Diceros bicornis minor: one gene and its partners. The protein of the gene in region 2 interacts with the protein of the main gene of each other region in a pairwise test. Links are inferred from orthologs where the notes say so. Each region holds a gene or a part of one and is shown on either strand. Other genes may lie near its edges. The genes, in order: SMAD4, PIAS1 and MX1.

The links.
Region 1: the proteins of PIAS1 (region 2) and SMAD4 interact in a two-hybrid assay, tested with the Homo sapiens proteins (2 studies listed by BioGRID and IntAct). The link is inferred for Diceros bicornis minor from reciprocal best matches to the Homo sapiens genes PIAS1 and SMAD4.
Region 3: the proteins of PIAS1 (region 2) and MX1 interact in a two-hybrid assay, tested with the Homo sapiens proteins (2 studies listed by BioGRID). The link is inferred for Diceros bicornis minor from reciprocal best matches to the Homo sapiens genes PIAS1 and MX1.

What each region holds. Positions count from the first base shown.
Region 1 is NC_080755.1:43,330,724-43,338,728, reverse strand, and holds the start of SMAD4 (mothers against decapentaplegic homolog 4), read right to left. Parts: upstream 3,061-8,005; 5' UTR 2,668-3,060; intron 1-2,667. UniProt on the Homo sapiens protein: In muscle physiology, plays a central role in the balance between atrophy and hypertrophy. When recruited by MSTN, promotes atrophy response via phosphorylated SMAD2/4.
Region 2 is NC_080744.1:61,954,424-61,961,325, forward strand, and holds the start of PIAS1 (E3 SUMO-protein ligase PIAS1), read left to right. Parts: upstream 1-3,842; 5' UTR 3,843-4,341; coding exon 4,342-4,374; intron 4,375-6,902. UniProt on the Homo sapiens protein: Functions as an E3-type small ubiquitin-like modifier (SUMO) ligase, stabilizing the interaction between UBE2I and the substrate, and as a SUMO-tethering factor. Catalyzes sumoylation of various proteins, such as CEBPB, MRE11, MTA1, PTK2 and PML.
Region 3 is NC_080766.1:41,174,622-41,182,691, reverse strand, and holds the start of MX1 (interferon-induced GTP-binding protein Mx1), read right to left. Parts: upstream 3,008-8,070; 5' UTR 2,959-3,007; intron 2,401-2,958; exon of another isoform or gene 1,051-2,400; intron 1-1,050.

The DNA of each region.
Region 1 (8,005 bases), on a different chromosome or scaffold from region 2:
CAAAATTTGATAATTTAACAAAATTGTATTAAATTCTGTGCTATGCTTATCTAACTTCTTTAACATTCATTTAGTGTAGAAAATAATGAAATCCATAAAATAGTTTTAGTCAGGTTGGTTTTATACATGATTAAGCAACACCTCAGAGTCACCGTTAATCATCACTTAAGCAAAACAAAAATTTCTAACTACACAATCTTCTAGGAAAAAAACAAAAAAGGAAATCCAAACATGTACAATGAGCACTGAAATGGTGCTAACATAAGATGTTTAAAGAACCATTCACTCTAAAATCACTGAAAGAAAAATGAAAAAAAGTTAGGCATGAGCTAGAGGCGGATAAAATAGAACTGAAATAAGTAAAGTTTAAACATAAGAAAAATAAAGTATGCTTCACCAGAATAGGCAAAATTTTAGATAAGACTAAATATGCATTTTATATGTAATGCATGAGACAGATCCTGTAGGGTTAACTGCCCCAGTAGAGGCCTCAGCAATTCACAGCTCAATTAGAATAGTGTCTAATGATGTTACTATAACACTGGCTCAATCAGAAAAAACAGCTTCCAAACTGGAGAGCTGGAGTGTGACTGGGCAGCATAAACTAGTTTTTAATACTTGCTCTTTAATTTGAGAGAAAAAAAAATCTGAAGGGCAACGAAGAAAAAGAATTCACACAAATGGAGAAACAGCTCAACTAAAATGTAGCTTAAGAAAGTGAAGCGCTGGTTTTTAGAAATAAGACTTGCTGCTTCCCAGGATAAGCAGAATTGCTTCAAGAAGCAAAGCCATCAGAAAAGGTCCATGGTCCACATATAACTTATTCCCAAAAATTTCTAAGTGACTTTCTCAGCACAAATTTTCATTAAATCTGAAACTAATTGCAGTTGTTTTCTAAGCTCAAGGTTTACAAGGAAGGCACTTAGCTAAACAGAGAAATTTCTACTTAGGCAGTCCCACTTCAAAAACAAAAAAAATTAAGATGCAATACCTCTTTAAAGTAACCTCACCCAAAAACCTGGAAAGCAAAGAAAAAGCCACTTCTATTAATAGACTCACAAAATGTTATATCAATTTTCTCTAGAAAGGCTTTTAGTTTTAATTCCAACAACTTAAACCTACATAATTCATCACCACCTTTAGACCTAAAGATACTCCAAATCTTAAATCCTTGGCCTGCCTGTATTACATTTGTGCTATAACAAACCCACTTAAAAAAACAAAATCATGACGACGTTATAGAAGAAACATTAATAAGAAATCAGATTTTAAAATGTTAATTATATCAATCATTTACAACTTGAAATATCATGTACTAACCATATTAGAACTTTCCAAAAGAGAAAATAAATCCTTAGCAGGAAAAAAAAAAAGTTACACACGTTAGAACTTCCCACGCTACATTTCAACTGAAATACAGTCTCAGTACAACACGGTAAAAGCAATTTATGAAATCTGCAATTAAAATTATTCAAATGCAACGTTCTAAACCTAATTACTTTATGAAAATAAGCATTTCTGTATTTTCTATTAACACTAAATGCCTTCTTCCAGCAAAAAGTACTGAACCTGCTTTTGAAACACCCGAATAATCAAATGGCTACTGACACTAAAAGGATGCTAATTCTGGCAAAAGTCAAAGTTTGTCAAGTTGTTTGCCAACAAAAATTGGCCAAGATTACATGCCTTCAGAAAGTCAATACAGACTAATTAAAATGATTCCCCATTACCTTATATGTATTATTCCTAAATAACTGGTAGTTTCACCTAAAACTATGGTGCAACAGCTAAAGGCATTATAAAACTAAACTCAAAATAAATTAATTAGAAATATATTCATTTAAAAAAATTTTACTTGGCTTTTCAGGGGGAAACTAGCTACCAATTTTCAATAGGGTTGTTTAAAACCTCTCTATACCCGCAAAGAAATCTTTCAAGTTAACAAAACACACCCATTTCTTTGAAAATCTAGCTTGAGAAACCATAACAGCAGTTTGGGGAATGTGATGGAGCCACCGCCCTCCACCCTACACCAATCTCACTCAGTACTTGTAGTCCTAGCAATAAGATAAACTATGTCTTCTCTTTTTTATTAGGGGCGGGGTGGGGGGTGGTCAGTTAGGTGCTAAGAATGTTTCCTGCATACTGCCATCACCCACAATACTCAAAATGTAAGTAAACAAATCAAAGCCAGAAACATACACGGGAATGACACAACCAGGAAGAGAAAGTAAGGGACAAAGAGAAAACAAAAATTTGCTTGAGAAAAGAAATCAAGACCAACCATCTATAACTTTCCTCTAGACCTAAGGCAATACGCTCCAGCCGCCCCGCCGCGCTCGGCCGGGAGGACGGGGAAACTACTCCAGAACAACAAAGAGGAGCGGCGGCCGCAGCGGGAGTCCCCGTCCCAGTTCAACTTGATTCTGCGACAAACTGCGAGGGGAGTTCGGGGCCCGAGGGCCGGCCCCGAGCCCGCGGGACGCGAGGCACCGCGGCCCAGCGCGACCCGCCGGCCCGGCTCGTCAGGCGGCCGCGCTCGCTCTCCGGGCGGACCCGCCGGCCTCCCGCGCGCTCCCCGCCGCCGGGAGCCCGCCCCGGGGCGGGGAAGCCGCGGGTGGGGTGCGCGGGCCCGCCGGGGGAAGGGGAGGGGACATGGCGAGTTACCTGGGCTCGGGCGATGGCGAGGGGAGTCCGCTCTCCCGCCGCGGCTCGTCCGCGGGGCGCCGGGCCCGTCGCTCCGCCGGCGGCCCGGAGCGCTCCTCGGCCCCCGCCCCGAGGCGTCCGGGCCAGGCCGCCCCTCCTCGGGGCCGCGCCGCTGCCCGCGCGGGCCGGGCCGCCTCGAGCTCCCGGGCCGCCCCGCGGCGGGGGGCCTCTCTCGCGGGGCGCCCGGCTCCCCTCACCCGCTCCCGCCCCCTGGACGGCCGCGGAGCCGAGGGGAGGGCGGGAAGGGCCTCCCGAGGAGAGCGGGCGGGCGCGAACGCGGGCTCCGCCACCCGAGCCGCTCCGTTACCGCAGCGGCGACGACGACCAGGGCCGTGTTGTTGCTGCCAACTTGTCGAAAGGACACTGAGCATGCGCGCGCGGAGACCACATCCGGGTAATTTCAGGGTTTGGCCCTTTTTCCCCGCAGCTTTCCTTTCTCCCGGCTGCCCCCGCCTCCCGCCCCTAGTGACGGGTGGATAGCTCTGCGCAGGCGCCTGCGGGGCACCACCAGTCGGCGGGCTGCCCGGAGTCCTAGCCTGGGCTGAGGCCCTGGCTGAGCGCGCTGCCGCGCAATGGTGCGGGGGGGGGGGGGGGGTTGTTTGCAGGGAGTGGTCATCAGAGAAATTGGCATCCCTCTCCAAAAAAGTGCAAAGTGCCCAAGCATCGCTGGAGAGCTCGGCGTATAGTGGCATCCAGTAAGTGTTTATAAATAGCGATCAGGCGGGTCTTGTTTTTTGAGGACCTGCGTGGGCTTAAGTATTAGACTTTAACCGCTAGCCCTGGGGAGACGGTGCTGTAGCGGTGTACTTTGGGAAGAAACTGGCGATCACCGCACCATCCTTCCCTTTCCACTAGCCCTGGATCACTAGATCCAAAAGTATCTACACTAAAGAGACTCCCTCTTTTGGGTTAAAGACGTGCACAGTAGAGTCAAGGAATCACACATTTGAGAGCTTGGCCAGATCTTAGGAAAAGTGAGTGGTTCTTGTTGGAAGAGATTTAGGCGGAACCTCAGAGTTGAAGGGACCTTCGAGGACCTACTACACACCTGTTAACTAGGTTACCTGTTGGGTAAGGAAAGGCATAAACTGTGCTTTTGACTTTATACTTCTTTTCTTTGAAAACTTTACAAGATGCATGCATTTCTTTTACATTTAAAAAGTTTCAGAAAACATGTACTAGTTATATATTATTTTTCACCAATCAGGATATAGTTCCGTTGGAGATCTCACCAAGACTAATTATTGGAAAGTTCTAAAGTCATTTCTTAAGTCTTGTAGCCCAGAAACTCTCTAGTCCCCCTCCTACTTTTCACACACAGTGCCCCGCCCCCTAGCCCCATGCTGCCCTCACCATCATAGCCTGGGCTCTTCCCCCTTCTACCAGAAAGCCTCTAAACTATCATATTCACTTATGTTCCCTTACCCCTGGGGTTCATGAAGACCTTCCAAAACTAGTTTTAAGGGAATTCATTTCCAGATCTTCCACCGCTATATGTACTATTTTCTAAAATTGCTCAGCTTGGGAAAGCACCTGAGGACACAGCATTCTCTTTCAAAACTGTCCTTCTCCCACCTTACAAAAAAAGTCAACACTCACACCCATTACTAAGGTGTATCGACCCAAGATGTAAAAACCTCCACGGCAATTCAAAGGGACAATTCAAAAATTGGTGTCTGTGCTGAGAAAGTGAATGACCCAAATGAATGAGTTATAAGTTCTTTTGCAAGTCAGCTGGTTTCCAGTTCTTTGCTATCAACAAAATTGAGGGCCAGCCCCGTGGCTTAGCGGTTAAGTGCGCGCGCTCTGCTACTGGCAGCCCGGGTTCAGAACCCCGGGCGTGCACTGACGCACCGCTTGTCCAGCCATGCTGAGGCCGCGTCCCACATACAGCAACTAGAAGGATGTGTAGCTATGACATACAACTATCTACTGGGGCTTTGGGGGAAAAATAAATAAATAAAATTATAAAAAAAAAAAATTGAAAGAAGATCTAACCAGGTGATTTGATAATAGATCAACATGTGATTCTTAGGCCATATACCCCAGAAGGAGTTATAAGAATTAAGTAACACTGCTATAACTAAACTTCTTCCATTCCCATCTGTATTAATCTGTTGTATATAACAATATTACCACAAATTTAACAGCTTAAAACAACACACATTTATTGGCTCACAGTTTCTATGGGTCAGGAGTCTAGGCATGGCTTAGCTGGGTCCTCTGCAAGATCACAGAGTGAAACTTGACTGGGAAAGGATCCACTTCCAAGCTCACATGGTTGTTGGCAGCATTCAGTTCCCTGCAGACTGCAGGACTGAGGGCCCTAATCCCTTGCTGGCTGTCGGCTGGAGTCCCCCTCAGTTCGTTGACATGTGGCCCTCTCCATAGGGAAGCTTACAATATGGCAGCTTGCTTCTTCAAAGCCAGCAAGGGGGAGAGCCTCAGTGCAAGACCCTAGTTACAGTCTTATGTAACATAAGCACGTACATGTAATCACATACATCCTGTCACCTTTGCCATACTCTTGGCCAGAAGCAAATCACAAGTCCCACCCCCGCTCAAAGGAAGGACACCACACAAGGGCATGAACACCAGGAGGCAGGAATAATATGGAGCTACATTAGAGTGTGTCCACCACACCATGTATTTATTTATGCAAATGAAAATCCCTTTAAACTCAACTCCCTCAGAATTTCTCTTCAGTTTCCCTTCACCTTCTTGCTTAAGGAAAACGTGACTTTCCCCGGGACACTGCTTCCCTTTCCCCCTTTCAAGTAGTGGCAGCTATGTTTTCAACCATAAGCCTCTTCAACTGTGCCTGGAGGTGGGGTAGGTGTCCTCCTTGCTCCTTGACATTGCTTCCAGACCATCCTCCTCTCCCCTTCCTTTTAACCTGCAGCTTTGTGTGTTTGTGTGTGAGGAAGACTGGCTCTGAGCTAACATCTGTGCCCATCTTCCTCTATTTTGTATGTGGGATGCCGCCACAGCATGGCTTGATGAGCAGTGTGTAGTTCGTGCCCAGAACCCGAACCTGCGATCCCCGAGCCACCAAAGCGGAGCACATGAACTTAACCACTATGCCACCAGGCCGGCCCCTAACCTGCAGCTTTAAATCTTGTTATCCAGTAATCCTCATCGTTGCTCTCATTCCCCTTCATTTTTTCACTGTTTGCTCCTATCAGTCACTCCAATACCACTTCTGTCTTAATTCTAGGTGCTTATAATATATACTTAGATGATCTTCCCAATACCCTGACCTCTCAGTTCCTTGACTTCTCCTCCAAAGATCTTGTCCTACCCTAACTCAGCCACTCACTCTCATGGGCATAATTACAGGAGCCTTATCAAACTTGGCAACTTCATTATAATCACAATGTCAAACATCTCACATGGTGAACACCACCTCATATTTCCATATTTCCTTGTAGTACTCTGACTCCAGCAATTCTTCAACCTACGTATCCGCTCTCTCCCATCCTTAACTCAGCTTAAACCCCTGGCCAATCATTACAATCATTCTCTTGCACATACCCTCAGTCTGCTTACTCCCCTCCCTCTTTGTTGTGCTTGCTGGACAAAACCACAATTCTGATTCAAGCCAGCTCTCCACCTACTCCACGCCAGTACCGCTGCATCTGAATGTGGCTAGAGAAAAACACAATTACACTGACTAGTTTCACTTTAATTTTATCACTGTGAACCTCAAGTGAGCCCTTAGTGCTGCCCAGGAATCCTACTTCCCTCCTCCATTCTTCTGGATTTCATACCTTCTCTGTCTTCTAACCTACACCTCCTTCCCTCTTATCCTCATTTTCAGTTAATAACCTTGCTTTCTATTTCATTGAGAAAATTGAAGCAATGAGACAAAAACTTCCACAGAATCCTCTTCTTCACCTTCCCCTCCGTTACATAGTTGAATTTTCCATGCTCCTAGCTAAAGCCAGTCCCTCTGCTAAGGCAATAGATCCCAATCTCATCTTGCCTAATCAAGATCATCAGCATCACTCCAGCAATTATCTCCCCTCTTCTATACTATCAGTGTTTCCCTCTCTACTGGGTGATTCCCATAAGCTTATAAGCAGCTATTATTTCTCCAATCCTACAAAAATCTTCTTTTTGACCCAATTCCACTGTCAGCCACTGCCCCATTTCTCTGCTTCGTTTGCAACAAAACTTCCAAACGAGTTTTCTATACTTTTTGTCTCTAGTTCTCCTCCCATTCTGCAGCAGCAGAATACATACCATCTGATACAATTTATATAAAGTTCAAAAACACTCCAAATATGATGTGTATGTAAGACTACATACATATGTAATAGAATCATAACAACACACACAATGTTATATCTTTGGCATATTTTAGGTCTTCAGCTGAGAGGGTCTCCCACGGTCTCTTTTTTATTATTATTATTTATTTATTCCCCCCCCCCCAAAGCCCCAGTAGATAGTTGTATATCATAGCTGCACATCCTTCTAGTTGCTGTATGTGGGACACGGCCTCAGCATGGCCAGAGAAGCGGTGCGTCGATGCGCGCCCGGGATCCGAACCCGGGCCGCCTGCAGTGGAGCGCACACACTTAACCGCTAAGCCACGGGGCCGGCCCCCTAGAATTGATTCTTAATCTTATTTCATTCTGGCAAAAATATTCTACACTTTAATTTTAATAGTTTATCAAAATTTGTAATATCTTATGTTGTTTAGATCAATGAGGTATTCAAAATTGTATCGATGATAAAATCAAGATGAGTTTTTTAAACTTAGAAACTCAGTCAAAAGATTTTTTAAAAATTTTTATAGGGAAATATGATAGGCTGATTGATAAAAGACTTTCCAGTCTAAAATCTTACATTAAAATGTTCCAGGGGCAAGTTGAAAGGAAATACAAGATAAGTAGAAAAAGAGTGATGTAAAATTTCTTTTAAAGAAAAGCTTGTTCATGTATCTTTTAAATGGATGGTAGATGCATTATGATATTTACATTCCCTTGGATACACTTAAAGAATGATGTAACAATCTTATTTTAAAATTCCAATACTTATAATATGCCAGAAATAACAAACTTTGTCATCATTTAAATTTAAGATGAAACATTTTAGATCTGACCGTTAAAAGTACAAGAAGAAACATAGTTTCTAAAATTTCTTTAGGAGGTAAGCAAGCAAGAAGTGTTAAAGACCACAGTCCCAGAGCACTTCAGTGGAGCTAAGCTACCACTTTTCCTGAGACTTCTCCAGGAGAAACATCTCAATTCTCACAACCATCTCTGACCTTAGCAGGCAAAGGCTTTGAAAGCTT
Region 2 (6,902 bases):
TGGAGGGACTGACCTTCACAGGCACAAGGACACTTCATTCATAGTAACTCAAATGTTACTACGCCAATAAGAGTAGTTTTGACGGTGAGAAGATAAGGGAGTTCATGTTATCTGTTATCTTTTAATTTTTTCCATGAGATATGAGGCAAAGTTGAGGAGCAAAAAGTGGGGTTGGAGAGGAGATAGGAGGCTTTTAGTAGAGAGGAAAAGGTGTCAAATAATTCTTTCATCACGTCTACTTAAATGTCAATTTAGAGGCGAAAGCTCTCTCAGGATTAAGTACATCTCCTCCCAGCCCCTTTTTCTCTCACTGGACGGTTCATGCTTTTCAGGTACTCATCATCCTTTGTAACTGTATCTTTATAGGTTCGCGTGTCTGTTCCCCCATTACAGAACTACAGGAGGGCAAGGACTTGGTTGTATTTAGTTTCCCAGTGTATATATAGCCCTTAGAAACAGGGCCGGTACAAAGTCACTAAATAATTACTTGAAACAAAGAAATTAATGAATGAAAGTTTTCAGAATTTTGTCTTAGGCCACTCGTGTTAAGTACTTGCTTGTGCAAGTCACTTTTCCTCTCTGAGCTTTATTCCTGAATATATACCACGGGAACAGTAGTCTCTTCCCTGCCTACCTCACCGCGTTGTCATGAGGAGGATCTGAGCTAATAAACCTGGAAATACTTCATCAAGTGATTCTTAAATGTAACTGATTGTTATTTTTAGCCCACGTGTAGCCTCGCAGGTAGCAGGTGCTGAAAAGGACTTGCTGATTGGGGGAGGGCGTATTATTGTTCCCTGTGCCTGCGGAGGGGCGGGGCTCAGGCCAGCAGCCCTCCCGCTCCGGCCTTTCCCTGGAGGCGCTAGCCGGGCGAGGATGGGGGGCGGGGAGGCCTAGGAGGGAGTAACTGTCAAATCTCTCCGCTTGGCGCCATTATTTAAATAGTACGTGTCCGTGTCGCAGCTGTACGTGCCCAGGGCGGGGCTCCGAGCGCCCGGAGCGAGGCGGAGGCCGGGGGCGGGCCGAGGAGGCGGAGGGGCGAGAGGGGACGGGCCGGGGCGGGGCCAGGCTGGCTAGAGGGGCGGGTCTAGCGGCGGCCCCCGGCGAGGTTCACTGCGCTTGCGCTGACAGACGCAAGATGGCGGACAGTGCGGAACTAAAGGTAAAGCGCAGCTCGAATTCACTTCTAATATTCGGCCGCGGAGACGGCGCCGCTGGTGCCGAGGGGGATGGGTCCGACCCTGGGGGGCCGCTCGGGCTTGACTCCATCCAGGCCTGGAGTTGTAGGGCGGAGCGGCGCGCCCGGCCCCAGCTGAGGGGGCCCGGCAGCGGCGGGCCGCGGGCCCCGGGTGCCTCGGGGGCGCTGACGGGTCGTCCCCGGCGTGTTATTGTTGTGGGCGCCTCTGGCGGGGGAGGCGGGGGAAGAGATCGCCAGTGGGGAGGTGGGGGCCGCGGCCGCCCCCGGGTCTCGGCGTGCTCACCTTCTAGGCAGCCTCCCCGCCCCCCCATGGGGAGCGGGGGCTAGGGCAGGGTGTTCGTGTCGGGGGGATTGGGAAAGCTCCCCGCCGCCGCTTCCTCTTCCTCCTTTGCAGTCCCGGGCTCCTGTCAGGCGCTCGGCTCAGACCCCCGGGAACTTGGCTCCGGCCGCCCCGCCCCTCCGTGGCTCCCTGCGGCCCCCGCCCCGGACTCGGCTCTCCCCGGCTGCCTGCCTGTCAGGAGGCGCCCGGGGTGCCCCGCTTGTGCGCAGCGCGATCCTGGGGCGATGGGGTGGGGATGTGAAGAGAAGCTCCGGGAAAGTTTAGTGAGCCTCGGGCCGGCGTTGGGGTTCGGCTGAGGGGTAGCGGGGGGGTGTGCCTGGGCGGGACGTTACTATTTCTCTCTGATTCTTGGTAAGCGGGGGGTAGAAACCCCCTCGAAGGGTGTGTGTTGGGAAGCAGTGGTGGGTGGTGGGAAGCACCTACCTCTCTCCTCTTTTCCTTCTCTTCCTTTGGCTGGTGCGGAGGGTAAGAGGAGCCTGTCGGGGTCTCTGCACACACCATGATGGCGATGCTGTAGCTGATGGAGGTGAATGGTTCGTGTTTATATCCCCCCGTTGCCTTTTGTTTGTGGGGACATCTTGCTGGCCATGTTGATTTGAACGAAATTCTCCCGTCATCCTACTTCAACCCCCAATAAATAGAACGTTCCTCCGTTCCTCTCAACTGTGCCAATTACTCACGCCTCGCGAAATTGGATGAAAGGGTGCCCCCTTTTCCCCGCTCATCCTCCCGCCCCAATCTTCTTTACCTGATGATGGCTTCTTTACCGAGGCAGATATAGCACTACACAAGCAGTTGGGGGAGGAGGGTGGAACCCTTGTGATTGGATTGTGACAAATGGGGCTCCGCTTGAATAATTTTGGTTTAGTAGCAAGCAGTTTTTAACTAACGCGTATTATTTCGAGGCTCTGAATGCGATATTCCCTACTCTGTGGCTTCCTGTGTGTGATCCAAGCAGCTGGTTGTGTCCTGACCCAGAGAACTGACATCTCTGTCAGAGTGGAGATTGGGATATACAGTTGTAAATCTTCGGGGAGAGTCCTCTTTTTATAATTAATAAAAATTGTGTAAAAAATTTTCTCCGTTATAATGAAGCGACAACTTCTAGAATAACCAAACGCCAGGTTTGTTTCTGGAGAGTTTTTCTGTGGAAAGCGTCGCTGAAAGATCGTTTTCCCCCAGTAATTTTGCAATTTTAACACTCCACAATTTGTATATTAAGGCGCTGGCTTTGAGTGTCGTTCTTTTTAAATTTACTGCTAATTACAAATAAATTTAAGGGAGAGCAGATTTAGGATGGTTGGTTTCGTTTTTTCCTGTTTCAAACTAGTGACCGAAGTGAAAAAGCCTCAAGAATTTGAATATTGGCAGGTAATTAACTCTTGAAATAAAAAAGTCCACAACTTTAAGATACATGTTTTCTATAGTTTTATTCTTGAAATGTAGTCCCTATGTGGCTGTAATCTTTGCCTTCTAATATTTATTTTGTTAGGCATCCTTTTGAATGATAGGTAATCAGTTCTGTTATACGGGGACCACAGAGTAAAGCTGAAAAGCTTGTGCTGGCTATATTGTCACTCTTGATGCTGTCCAAAGAAACTGATGTGGAAAGCACATGCTGGGAGATTTCTTCCTTTGTTCTTTCTCATTTTAAGAAAGTGCCTTTAGGGATAGATCAGATCCCTGGTGTGAGTCTTGTTAGGTAAAGTTTCTGTTTGCTAAAATGAGCCTGTATCAGATAAACGCTAAGAACTTGGGGGAAAGATTATTTTTCTAAAATTGGTCTCCTTTTTTGCTCTTTCCAAAATCTACTTGAGTTTTTCCAGAGGAGTTGTTTTCTACTTTTATGTTCCTGTTGTACATTTTTTTCAAATTATAATAACTGTTTTGACATTCAGGTCTGTCATTGTGTGTGCCCAGTACTTTGAGGAGGTGTGATAAATTGCTTAGCTGGTGATAGCTGTGTTAAAATTTTTGTTAATACTTGATTGTGGTTAGATTTGCTGTTCTTTTTTTTGGAGTGGGGAGATCATCTTAGGAACCCCTACCTTAGTTATTTGAGAATGTGTGTATATAATTTTCTGTGCAGTAAGCTTTGGAAGATACTGCTTTTGGAAATTGTATTTTCTGGTGGTTTTTTGTTTGTGGTTTTTGGAGGTAAATAGCATTTATTCCTAATAAGGTAGGAAAAGAGTAAGAATTAAGAAAAACCCAGATTTTTTTAAAGTTTTAGGTGAAAATACGGTACTTCCAATGAATTTCCAACTATGAGGCTTTGAATAAATACATTGACTTTTTTGGTATCTTAATTCACAACCCATGTTTCATTTTGCTGTGGATTGTATTCATAATTATTTTCCTCATGGTCCATTTTTGAGTCCTTGTAAATCTATAACAAATCTGCAAAGATCAGATGGGAAAATGGATAGATCTGTATCCCCTGTAGTATTAGTGCAAGCTGCAACACTTAAAGATATTGCCAATAAAAATTAGATTAAGAGTCATGCATATCAAAAAGAGTTCTCGGTGTATATTTGTTTATATACCCATAAATGACATTTGTAAGAATGTAGAGAGTGAACTTTTTGTTATGTTTAGGAATTTAAAAGCAGGAGGGTGTGATGACCAGATGATCTTGGAAGTTAATAATCTGACAGCTTCATGTAGCTCCTCTTAAAGTACTTTTTTAAAAAAAAATCACAAATGTTTTTTGCTTTAAAACTCAAAGCAAGTTGTATTGCCATTTTAACTCACAGGAGGAAGAGTGGGAAGGAAGAAGTTCTTCATTTCAGTGGAGCAAATAATGGATTTCAATGGGAAGAGAAACCGCTTAAAAGTATAGTTTTAAAAGTATCTATAAGCGTGTCAGTAAATTCTGTTGTCATATTCTGCCTCTTTATTTTCAAGAAATAGCCACTTAATTTTGCTCTTTGTGGTGTCATTGTTTGCTTTTATTTCAGATAGAAGCAAGTAAATCTGACAATTTATTCACAAATTTGATTTGAATCTCCATAACTTGCTTTTGTCAAGTGCCACATTTAGATGGCTTTTGTTTTAAGTCACCATTCTTATGAACAGTATTTGAAAACATTGTATAAAACACAGTTTTTAAGCATTTCATATAATTGTTTGGAAATTCCGCCTTTTCCTCCGCCGTTTTCTCTGGCTGATTGTATTGTCTTTCTCTTCAAAGAGTCTCTTGTAATCCCTGTTGATTGCGGTAGTGCTGAGTGGTGAGGCCATAGCTGATTAACCTTGGGTTTCTCCTGGTGAACTCCATCAGCATGCTGCTCCAGGGTTCTTGCTGAGAGTTTTGAGTTTAGTGTAATTTGTGCCCTTTCTTGCTGGTAACTAGGGATAAGAAAATAAAATGGCTCGTGGTTGTAGGGGGAACTGAGAGGAAGTATCTCAAGTTTCTGAAAAACTGGGTGTTTATGATGAATGTAGCCTTTAAAAACAAACAAAACTCCTGATTACTTCATAGGATTGATTGTAGTGTTTTCTGAAGTATTCTGTGGCATTAAGCACCTTGTTATTTCTTTTTTTAATATTTGAGTAATATTTATACAGTACTTGACAGTTCATAGTCTATCACATTATCTCATTTGGTCTTCCTAACAGTTCTTTGAGGTATAAAAGGCAGGTAATATCTCCCTTTTTATCCATGCAGTGAGCCCAGAAAGGGTAAGTGACTTGTCCAAGGTCATATAAATAAAAGTGGCAGAGACTTAAACCTAGGTCTTGTGATTTCAAAACTTTGTACTGTAGGCTGCCTTAAAGGTGCCCTGTCAGTCCTGGAGCTCTCTAGGGTGCCTTGCTCACAAAGAATTCTAGTTATGTTGTTGCTAATACTTTCCCTCTTGCTCTATGCCAGGGTATTTTTGGATATTCCTTGGGCTTTTTGCAAGGAAGATTTTGGAGTTTGTTAGTTGGAATCATAGACATTAATTCATGCAAATATAATTTTGCTTGGGAAGATTTCAGAGAATACTGAGAAGTAAGCAGAAAAATAAACAGCACCTGTAATCCCAGCATTTAGAAATCTCATGGTTAACATCTGGGTGTCTGTCCATTTAGACTGTCTCTCTGTGAGCATCTCTCTGTGAGCATACGTGTATGTATGTTCATCACAAAAAGGGATCATACTACTCTTTATTTGTAATCTGCTATTTTCTTGGCTGCCTTTCCAGGTAGTAAATATAGGTCTATATGATCATTTGAAAGGTAACATTGTATTTTATTCAACTAGTCTCTTGTCATTGAACAACTAGATGATTTCCACTTTTTTGCTATTTTAAACAGTTTCTTGACAAACAGCCTGATACAAAAGTTAGCAAATGTTTTATTCTAACTAAATATATTGATATGACAGAACTTTTTTTGTGCTTCAGAGAGCAATACAAATGGTATTTTGATTACATGAAGTGTTGTGAGTGAAATAAGTTAATTCTTTATTTCTTCATTGTCTATACCTTTATTGTTTCAGTTTCTATAAACCTGTCAGATAAGATTATTGAATTATGGCAGAGATAGAGTTTATAAAATGTAAGTAAACATTGCTTCTGAATCAGAACATTTGATAAAGTATGAAATATATTATAGAATAACATGTATAATTTATATTGAGTATGTTTGATTTTGGAAATTATAACACAGTAACAAATATTGCAAGTTTATGTGCTCATCTGTTTTTAATTAGCGTTAAGAAAAAAGCATTGCTGAATGTTAATATGAAGAAAGTGGATATGAGAATTTGCCTTACTCAGATTTTTAATCTCAAAGCAAAGTGTTGCCATAGTATTTGGTAGGTAACATTGTTTCGAGGAGGCTTTTATAGAATGGAGGTTACATAGGCAATGAAAACATTCTTCTATTTCAAGAAGGAAGCTTTATGGATTAAATCAATTAATAAATGCATATGTGAATTGAGTTAAGGATATTATTTGTGCAGCATCTGAAAAGTACTGCACTGTAGAAGGAACAGTTGATGAAATTAAGGGTGTGACATTGACATGTTAAATTTGGTCCTCACCTACACTTGCATTTATGGAACAAATTGTATCATTAGGATTTTTTTTTTTTTTAGAACACAGTTTGTATATTTATTTATTGTCTTTTTTTTTTTTTTTTTTGGAGAAAGATTGTTGCTGAGCTAATGTCTGTGCCAGTCTTCCTCTATTTTGTATATGGGTTGCCACCGTAGCATGGCTTGACGAATGGTGTAGGTCCACGCCCAGGATTCAAACTGGTGAACCCTGGGCTACCGAAGCAGAGCATGCAGACTTAACCGCTATGCCACCGGGCTGGCCCCATTAGGATTTTTTTTGAAATAGGGGATAGAGAAATTTTAAAGAATTTAGCTGG
Region 3 (8,070 bases), on a different chromosome or scaffold from region 2:
ATACACAATGGAATACTACTCAGCCCTAAAAAAAGACAAAATCGTCCCATTTGCAACAACATGGATGGACCTGGAGGGTATTATGTTAAGCGAAATAAGCCAGACAGAGAAAGACAAACACCACATGATTTCACTCATATGTGGAAGATACACTAACACACAGACAGAGAGAACTGTTTGGTGGTTACCAGGGGCAAGGTGGTTGGTGGGTGGGCACAACGGGAGAAGTGAGGCATTTATATGGTGACTGACAAACAATAATGTACAACTAAAATTTCACGAGGTTATAAAATATTAAGACATCAATAAAAAAAGAAATGGGCTTAAAAAAAAAAAAAAACATGGTTTGGAATCTGTGAATTCTAAAGGGTTGAGGAAAGGCAAAAGTTGAGTCACCCCAGAGGGACACTTCCAGACTCCGGAGCTCACATATGGAGCTCCCTTGGAAGACAACCGTTGCCAAGATGAGCTAGAATCAAAAACACAAGCCATCTACCCTGATAGGAACAGTCAGGAGGCGCAGTAACAGATGACTTTACAGCTACAAAACTCAGATAACAGCACTCTTGAAAAACAAACAAACAAAAACAAAAGGGAGAGAGGGATGCATTCCTTTCTTCATAAAATGGGAGAAAGGTGATTTTGAAAGGTGATCAATTTAAAAGAGTATTTACAGAATTTGGCAATCTGGAAATTTATGTCCTAACCCCCCTCATGCCTTTGGAAAGACTCATGTGCCCAGGGGGTCCCAGGCGGGGGCCCCGAGTTGAAGACCACAGCTGTGTCAGTTGGCCTTACTGCACCCAGCCAGGTAGCATCACTGGTCTCCAAGGCTTGCACCCCCATGACCAGGGGTTCAAGATGAGTCAAAACAAGACTTTGTGAATGTATTCCCTTCCTTTGTTTGTTTTGTAAAATGACATCCCCTAAAAGCAAAACTTGTTGGTTTTCTGTACATCTTAAATGTTTGTACCTTTCTTGGATCATCTTTGAAAATCAGTTTGGATTTCAGGAACAGGGCAATCTCAGCCACTAAAACCAGTTTCTTACTTGTTCATTGTACTCAGCATCCAGCTGCAGTTGTCATGCTGATAGAATATGTTGGCCCAGTGTTGGCCGTGGTACAGTCAAGCAGCGGTGACTATGAGCTCTCAGCCTCAAACTGCTCACAAAATGTCTCACCCGTACCTGCGTTTGCAGACAAGACTGCAGGGAAATTCGAGGTGGGCACACCACCTTAAATCTCTCTCCTTTCCAGCCCTCATCTTCCTGACTATTGCACACCCCCATCGGTCATGGGTGGGGTTACTGTACCGGGCTCTTCTCTCACTCCTAAGGTTGGGGTAGGGAGGGGAGAAACTGCCCAGGTGCAGGGGCTCTTCCCATTCTTGCCCAGGGCAGGTCTGTGTCCCCTCAAGTTCTCACTGTCCGTAGAGGTGGCTGGCTGGCTGCCTCCTCCACTCCAGATTTTAGGGAGTAGTAGTTTGCCTGTGGCTTCCAGAACTGGATGCCGTCTATTAGCAGTGTCACTGGAGAATCCTTGCAGTGGGGGGTGTGGCTGACATCAAACTGCTGCCCAATGGGTTTCCATCCTTGTGGGAAAGCTTCCTCAGCCCAGACGGCATAGAAGAGCAGGGATGGGAGGGGGGATTTAGCGCCCCCCAACCCCTACAAGCACAACCCCTAACCCTGGGATCACCTACAAGCACATCCTAGAGAATGTCTGATTCATAGAGTCTGTAATTTGTCCAACATAATTCAGTCTAGTTTTAAGAATAATCCTTGAAGGATTTAGATTTGCTTTTTCTCCTGAAAGTGTTTTGCCTTCCAAAAGCCCAGTGACATTTAAGTTTTTTACGATTAAAAGGGAAAACATCTTGTACTTTAGACCTAATGCTCGCTACCAAAACACACTGAGTGTCAGGAGGCAGGGAGAAGGGAAGTCAGGAAGAAAATGGGGCGCACGTCCACATGGAAAGGCTGGGGGACTCCCTGCCAGCAGGTCTGTTCCAAAATAGAAAGAGGACACGGTTAGACATTTTAGGAGTTGTTGGGGACTGATAACTGGAGGTTAGCATCACTTGACCCTGCTTCCACCAACTTGATTTAAAATTTGACCAAATAATTCCGAGAATCCCACGTGCACAACTCAGAGGCCACCAGCGGTGGGGAGCACAAATCTCAGCAGTGCCTGGGTTCCTTCTGTCAGTCCCCAGGACTGTCCTACCTCTCTCCATCCCCCCAAACTATGTGTGTCCGGCCCACTCAGTGGCACCCAAGCGCACAAGCTAGGGGGAAGTCGCTGAGTATTTCCCCTTCCGGCCGGAAGAGAGAGGGGTGCAACACGCATGCCTCGTCTCTCCCACCAGCCCCTCCTCCCGTCTGCGCGACTGTGGTACCCAGAACGTCCTCGCCAGGCGGGACCGTTCACTTGGACCTGCCTGTATTTAGCAGGTTCGGTGAAGACCCCTTGTCTCTGCACTTCCAAGGACCCCCCTCCCCCGACTGTTGACTTGTCTGGTTTGCCTCCCTAGCAGAAAATATAAAATGACGTCAAGCGATAGTCGGCGTCTGGGGTGGGCTCGGAGGCCACGCAGCAGTGGATGCGAAACTTTGTGCGCCCCCCCTTAACCGGCTCCCTCAGAGACCCCCAGGGCCCCCATCCCCTCCACCGTGCCACTTCCTCAAGCAGAAAAGCCGTAGGTCTGGGGGGCTGTTTTTGATGAGTCACTCAAGAACCTTGCAAGTAGAATCAAGCGTGCTCTGAGCCCAGCCGACATCGCCATTATTATTATTATTATTGTTATTGTTACTATTATTATTAATTATTACCTAATACTAGCCCCTGCAATGCCCACACCCCGGAGCGCTGGTCTCCGCAGCCAGCCGCCCAAACGCCCCTCTCGGAGCCCCGCTGGCCGGCTGGAGAGTGCGCAGACCCAGGAGCGCGACACTCACCTGTCCCCGCGCAGCGATGAGCGCCGGACGCCCGCCGCTCCTCTGCTTTATACCGCGCGGCGCCGCCCGCCCCCGGCCGCGGGGAAGCGAAACTCAGGGGACGCGAGGGCGGGAGAGCGGAAGGGCCGGTGGGGCAACCGGCCGCAGAAACGAAACCGAACCGCTGCTCGCCCCTGCGCCCCGCGCCCAGCTGCAGCCTCCCCGAGGCGCTCCACGTGTGCGATCCCCACCAGCAGCATCCGCATCCCTGGGAGCTTGAGGGAAATGCAGATTCTCGCCCCCCACCCCCCACCCCTCCCCAGCACACCTGCTGAACCAGAAACTCGGACTCAGGGCCCAGCAACCTGAGTTTTATCAGGCCCTTCTGACGATTCTGGGGGCAGTTTGAGAATCGTTGCTCTAACAGCTTCGAGTCATCCAAAGCTGAACGTAGCGTTGACCCTAGCGGGTCCCTTAACCCCTGGCCTTCTGAACAGATGCACTGATAATTGGGTGTCTTAAATTCCTGCTGGAGGTTCACTGGGGTCATTGGGGCACCAGCAGGGATTCTCAAGCATTCTATGTTAATAGCAGCTCCCCCCTCCCTCCCCCTCCCCAAGCTGACCCACATCATCCTCCTTCCCAATTCTCCTTGTCCATTTCAAGCCCTCCCTGGAGGTTGGCTCATCTGATTTCTCCAGGATGGAAATGGGTGGAAGGTGGGGGCCTGAAGTCACGCAGACACAAGAGCAGCCCTCCCTGTGGGGACTCTGTGCATGGGGAATAACACTTCCCTTTGGAAGGGCCTGGTACCCCACCTCCATTCTCCTTAGCTCAACTCAGAGTCCCTGAAGACAAGCCCCCACCCCACTCAAAGGCCTGGAACCTGCCCCAGCTCCAAGTTCTAGAGTCAGGGAAAGCCTGGGGGGAACCAAATTCAATATGGCTGCACCAAGAGACGAGGAGGAGGCCCCACAGCCAACTCCCTGCCTGGCCCGAAGTCACCTGGCTCTGCAGAGTCCATTGCTGGGGTCTGGGTGATCCCATCCAGGGTGGCCTGGTGGGAGGACACAGGCTCTCCCAGGAATTAGAGAGAAACCTTTGTCGGCTACTCACTCCTCTGGGCTTCAGGTACTTGCAGTTAGGAGGAAGAGTGACATCTTTTCCTGGTGGGCTGTGAGCAGGAGGGGTTAGAGCTTTCTGAAGGAGTAGAAGTGCCCCTGAAATGCAGGGGGAGCTGTGAGCAAGGCATGCGTGGCCCTAATACTCAACTCTGTGGAATGATCCTGCCTCTTCAGACCACAGGAGGCTCTCCCCAGTGACGCATGTTCAGGAATGAATTCAGACAGAGCCATGGGCAAAAGTGAAAACAAGGCGTGGCCACAGCCTGTGCCAGGGCCAGGATGAGGGCAAGGTGAGCGAGGTGGCTGTGGGGCCAGAGTGGAGGAGCCGGGCACTCTCTGTAGGCGTAAGTGCCCTTAAATTTGGTGCCCCCGACACTTCACAAGGCTACCCCTCTCACCTCCCAGCCTGAGACTTTTGGTAGCTCATTGTTTCTACTTTGCAAGTTGTATGGCAGTTCCCTAAAGAGCCCAGGGGCTTGTCTGTGGTGTGATTCAGTAATAAAACAATAATAGCTCATGTGCACTGGGTAATAGTATGTGTTAGGTGCCAGCTTGAGAGAATAACTCGCCTTCACAACCACCCTGTGAGGGGGTAAGATTATCACTTGCACTTTACGCACGAGGAGACTGAGGCTAAGGAGTTAGCTTATTGCTGGGTCCCGTAACTAGGAAGTGGGATAGCTAAGATGGCAGATATAGGTTTTGATCCCTGAGCCTGTGCTCTGTAGCATCTTCTCCCCACACTAAAATTGACAAGATGCGGTTCCTGTCAGGAAGCTCATAGCCTCCCATCTGAATTGCTGACGATTCCTTCTCTCCTCAAGAAATATTGATTACTCTATATTCTACGAAATAAGTTTCAAACTCTTAGCTCTTGAGGACTGTCCTCCAGGCTCAGCATCCCCACTCACCATCCCTGAACGCAGCCAACACCTCTGCTGGCCTGTCCTCCCCCAGGCTTCCGGACACATTTGCCTCCTCTGCCAAGTGCTAACGGGGATGTTCTCTGTCTGTACAGCTGCCCCTGGGAGCTCCTTCCAAACCTGGGTCCTGTCTCTTCCGGCCCCCCATCGCCTTAGCTCTGGCTAAGATGCTCTGGATCTCAGGTGGATGTTCTGGATACTGGGGGATGTGGCCACCTCCTTGATGAAGGTGTCAACTCCACGAAGGCAGGCTGAGGTCTCATCAAGTTTGTATCCCTCCGGTGCCTACCACCTACCGACAGCAGGTGCTCAGTAACCGTGGGCTGAATTTAACTGGACTGATGTGCCCAGCCACCTCGGCCCCTGGGGCTCCCATCACGGCCCGGCCCAGCCCTGTCCACTTACTAGTGTTCCTATCTCCATCAAAACGTATCTGATAAAAACACAGCATCCACACGGATGCATATTAGTGGCCAGACAATCCCACTGACCCCAACCCCTGCTGCCTGTGCAGTCATGGGTGCCCAGGGCTCTCCAGGTCTCCTGGTCTTTGTCCAGCCATCTCACACCTGCCTGGCCTGGCCCAGACTTGCCAGAAGAGCTGAGCTGGTGTTGATGGAAAGCCATGCCTGGCAAGCTTCCAGGCATCCATGCTGTTATGAGAGGTTCGGGGATTCAATCGGAGACGTAAAAGAAACTTTCCACTCCAAACAATTGGACTGAAGGTATATTTTATTATATAGAGGATAGTAAAGGCGATAGTCCACAAACAAATCCAAATAGGTCAAATAATAAGAGGGAAAAAACACCAGCTCAACTGGAAAGGGAAAACATCCACATCGGCTGAGATAGCAGCAGATCCGAATAGGTCATATAATAAGAGGGAAAAACATCAGATGGATCGGAAAGGGAAACACCAGATCAACTGAAGGGAAATGACACAAATCAACCGGAAAGAGAAACACCAGGTTGACGGGAAAGAGAACACATCAGATCAATTACTTCACAGTAAATCAATTACTCACAACATCCACGCCTCACTGCCGGGAGAGTCCTGTCAATCGACACGGCTGGGCAAGGATCACACGTCCTGGGCAAGGCGTCCCTTCCACAGGTGGAACTCTCACCGGGTCTCAGTCTCCAGCAGTTTATATAAGCAGTTACAGAGTTTGCAGAGCAAGCATCTAGTGTTCCCATGCACAAATGGTTATCAGTGGCGTACGTGCACTGAGCCCCTTGGCTAACGTCCCAGCCCAGTAATTGTGTACGTGCATTGTTCTTTTGGTTGTCGTCTTAGCCCGGCACAGATGGCCAGTCCATCCCGTGCTACAATGCTCCAAGAGCCTTGAAATGTTACAACTTGCAACTCTCTCCGTGGGAGAAGGGCCAGTTCCCACCACGCAGAAAGCAGCTTTTATATTTCTTTTTGTGCTGGTGGCTGTAGGTCAATGGAGCGGCCCAACATGGCTGTACTCATGTCAAGACACATGCCTACCTCCAAACAAGTGCACTTGCTTAAACACTGTGTGAAGTGGACAGCACCCCAATTCAGTGCTGCAGGGCACCCCACCGGCAGGGGTGGGAGGGGCGGAGTATTCCAAACTGCTCAGCTTGGTGTGCAGGGCCTGCGTGTGCCCAGCCTCACCTCTCCCCACCCCCATGGCTTGGATGTAACACCCTCCACACTACCCGAACTTCCCCCAGCTCAGGGCTGCTCGTCCTCCTACAAGTGCGGGCCGGGCTTCTTCCCATAACACGGCCTCCCTCCGTCCTTCTCCAGGCCTAGTGGACCTGCTTCCTGGGAGCCCCACGCTCCCCGCCCCGCCCACGGACCATGGCCGCATCACACTGTCTTGGCCTCTGTGAACACCCGTTCTGCCACCAGGCTGTCAGCTGGGCGGGACCAGGTCCGTGGTGTTTGCTGTTGTACTTGAGATCCAGCACAGTTCCTGGTATACAGTGTTTCAATAAATGTTTCTAGAATGAATGAATGAGTGAATGAATGATGAGTCGGAGGACTGGCTCGGCTCTTGCAGACGTGGTCCTCCGGTGACCTCTGGAGAGTGACCCTAAGCCACTCAGTTTCCTTCATTATCTCCTCCCCGCCTCTCCTCCGGATGTCGCGTTTCCCAGTCAAGGCAGGTTTGGTTTCGGTTTCTTTTCTCCGCCTCAGCTCGCAAAAAACGAAAGTCAGGCGGCGCGATTCTCGGTTCTTGAATCCAGGCCTGGGGGAGGAGAAGGGGGCACCCGGAGGAGGAGGGGGCAGTGCCGAGGGGAGGGGGCGGAGCCAAGAGGGGCGGTGCTAAGAGGAGGAGGGGCCGGTGAGGGGCGGGGCCCGGAGGAGCAGGTGCCGGGAGGAGCTGGCAGAGGCCGGGGGAGGCTCTTGGTGTGCCCTGCCACTTGGACGTGGGGCGGAGCCTGGACGCAGTTTTGCCCTTTGGGGTGGGGGAGGGGGGCACGCGGGACTGCGGGGCAGCCCCGGAACCCGCGGGGTAACGTGTCCACGTCTGACGCCGTCCAGGCCAAGGGTCGGGGCAGCGCGCCGTCTGTCCCGCCGGAGCGGGAGTCTAGGGTCCGAGGTCGTTTGCCCCGTTTCGTTTTCTCCGCTGTGCTTGTGACATAGACTCGTGCTTCTCAAAGGGTGGTCCCCGGACCAACAGCATTGGCTTCACCTGGGAGCTGGTTAGCAATGTGGGGTCTGGGGCCATCCCAAGACCATCCCAAATGCAGGACTCAATCTGCGTTTTTAAGAGGATTCTCCAAGTGATTCGTTTGCAATTCAAGCGTGAGAGCCTGGCGCCTGCAGGTTGCTATTTATCTAGTCCTCTAGGTCAAGGCCAGGGTCCAGCTGAGAGCCGTGCCTCCAGGGGACAGATACTGAAAGTCTGGTGGAGCTGAGCTGTTGGCTCTGGGCCCTGGCCTGGTGTACACGTCGCCAAACCCGGCGCAGTCACTGGGGAAGGTCGGTGGCCATTGCAAAATCATTTTTCTAGGATAGGGCCAGCTGTCCCTCTGGCATTCATCTGGTGATCAGCACTTTGTGCAAGTTTATTTTTCGGATAGGAAAGGCGGTAGCACGTGTCACC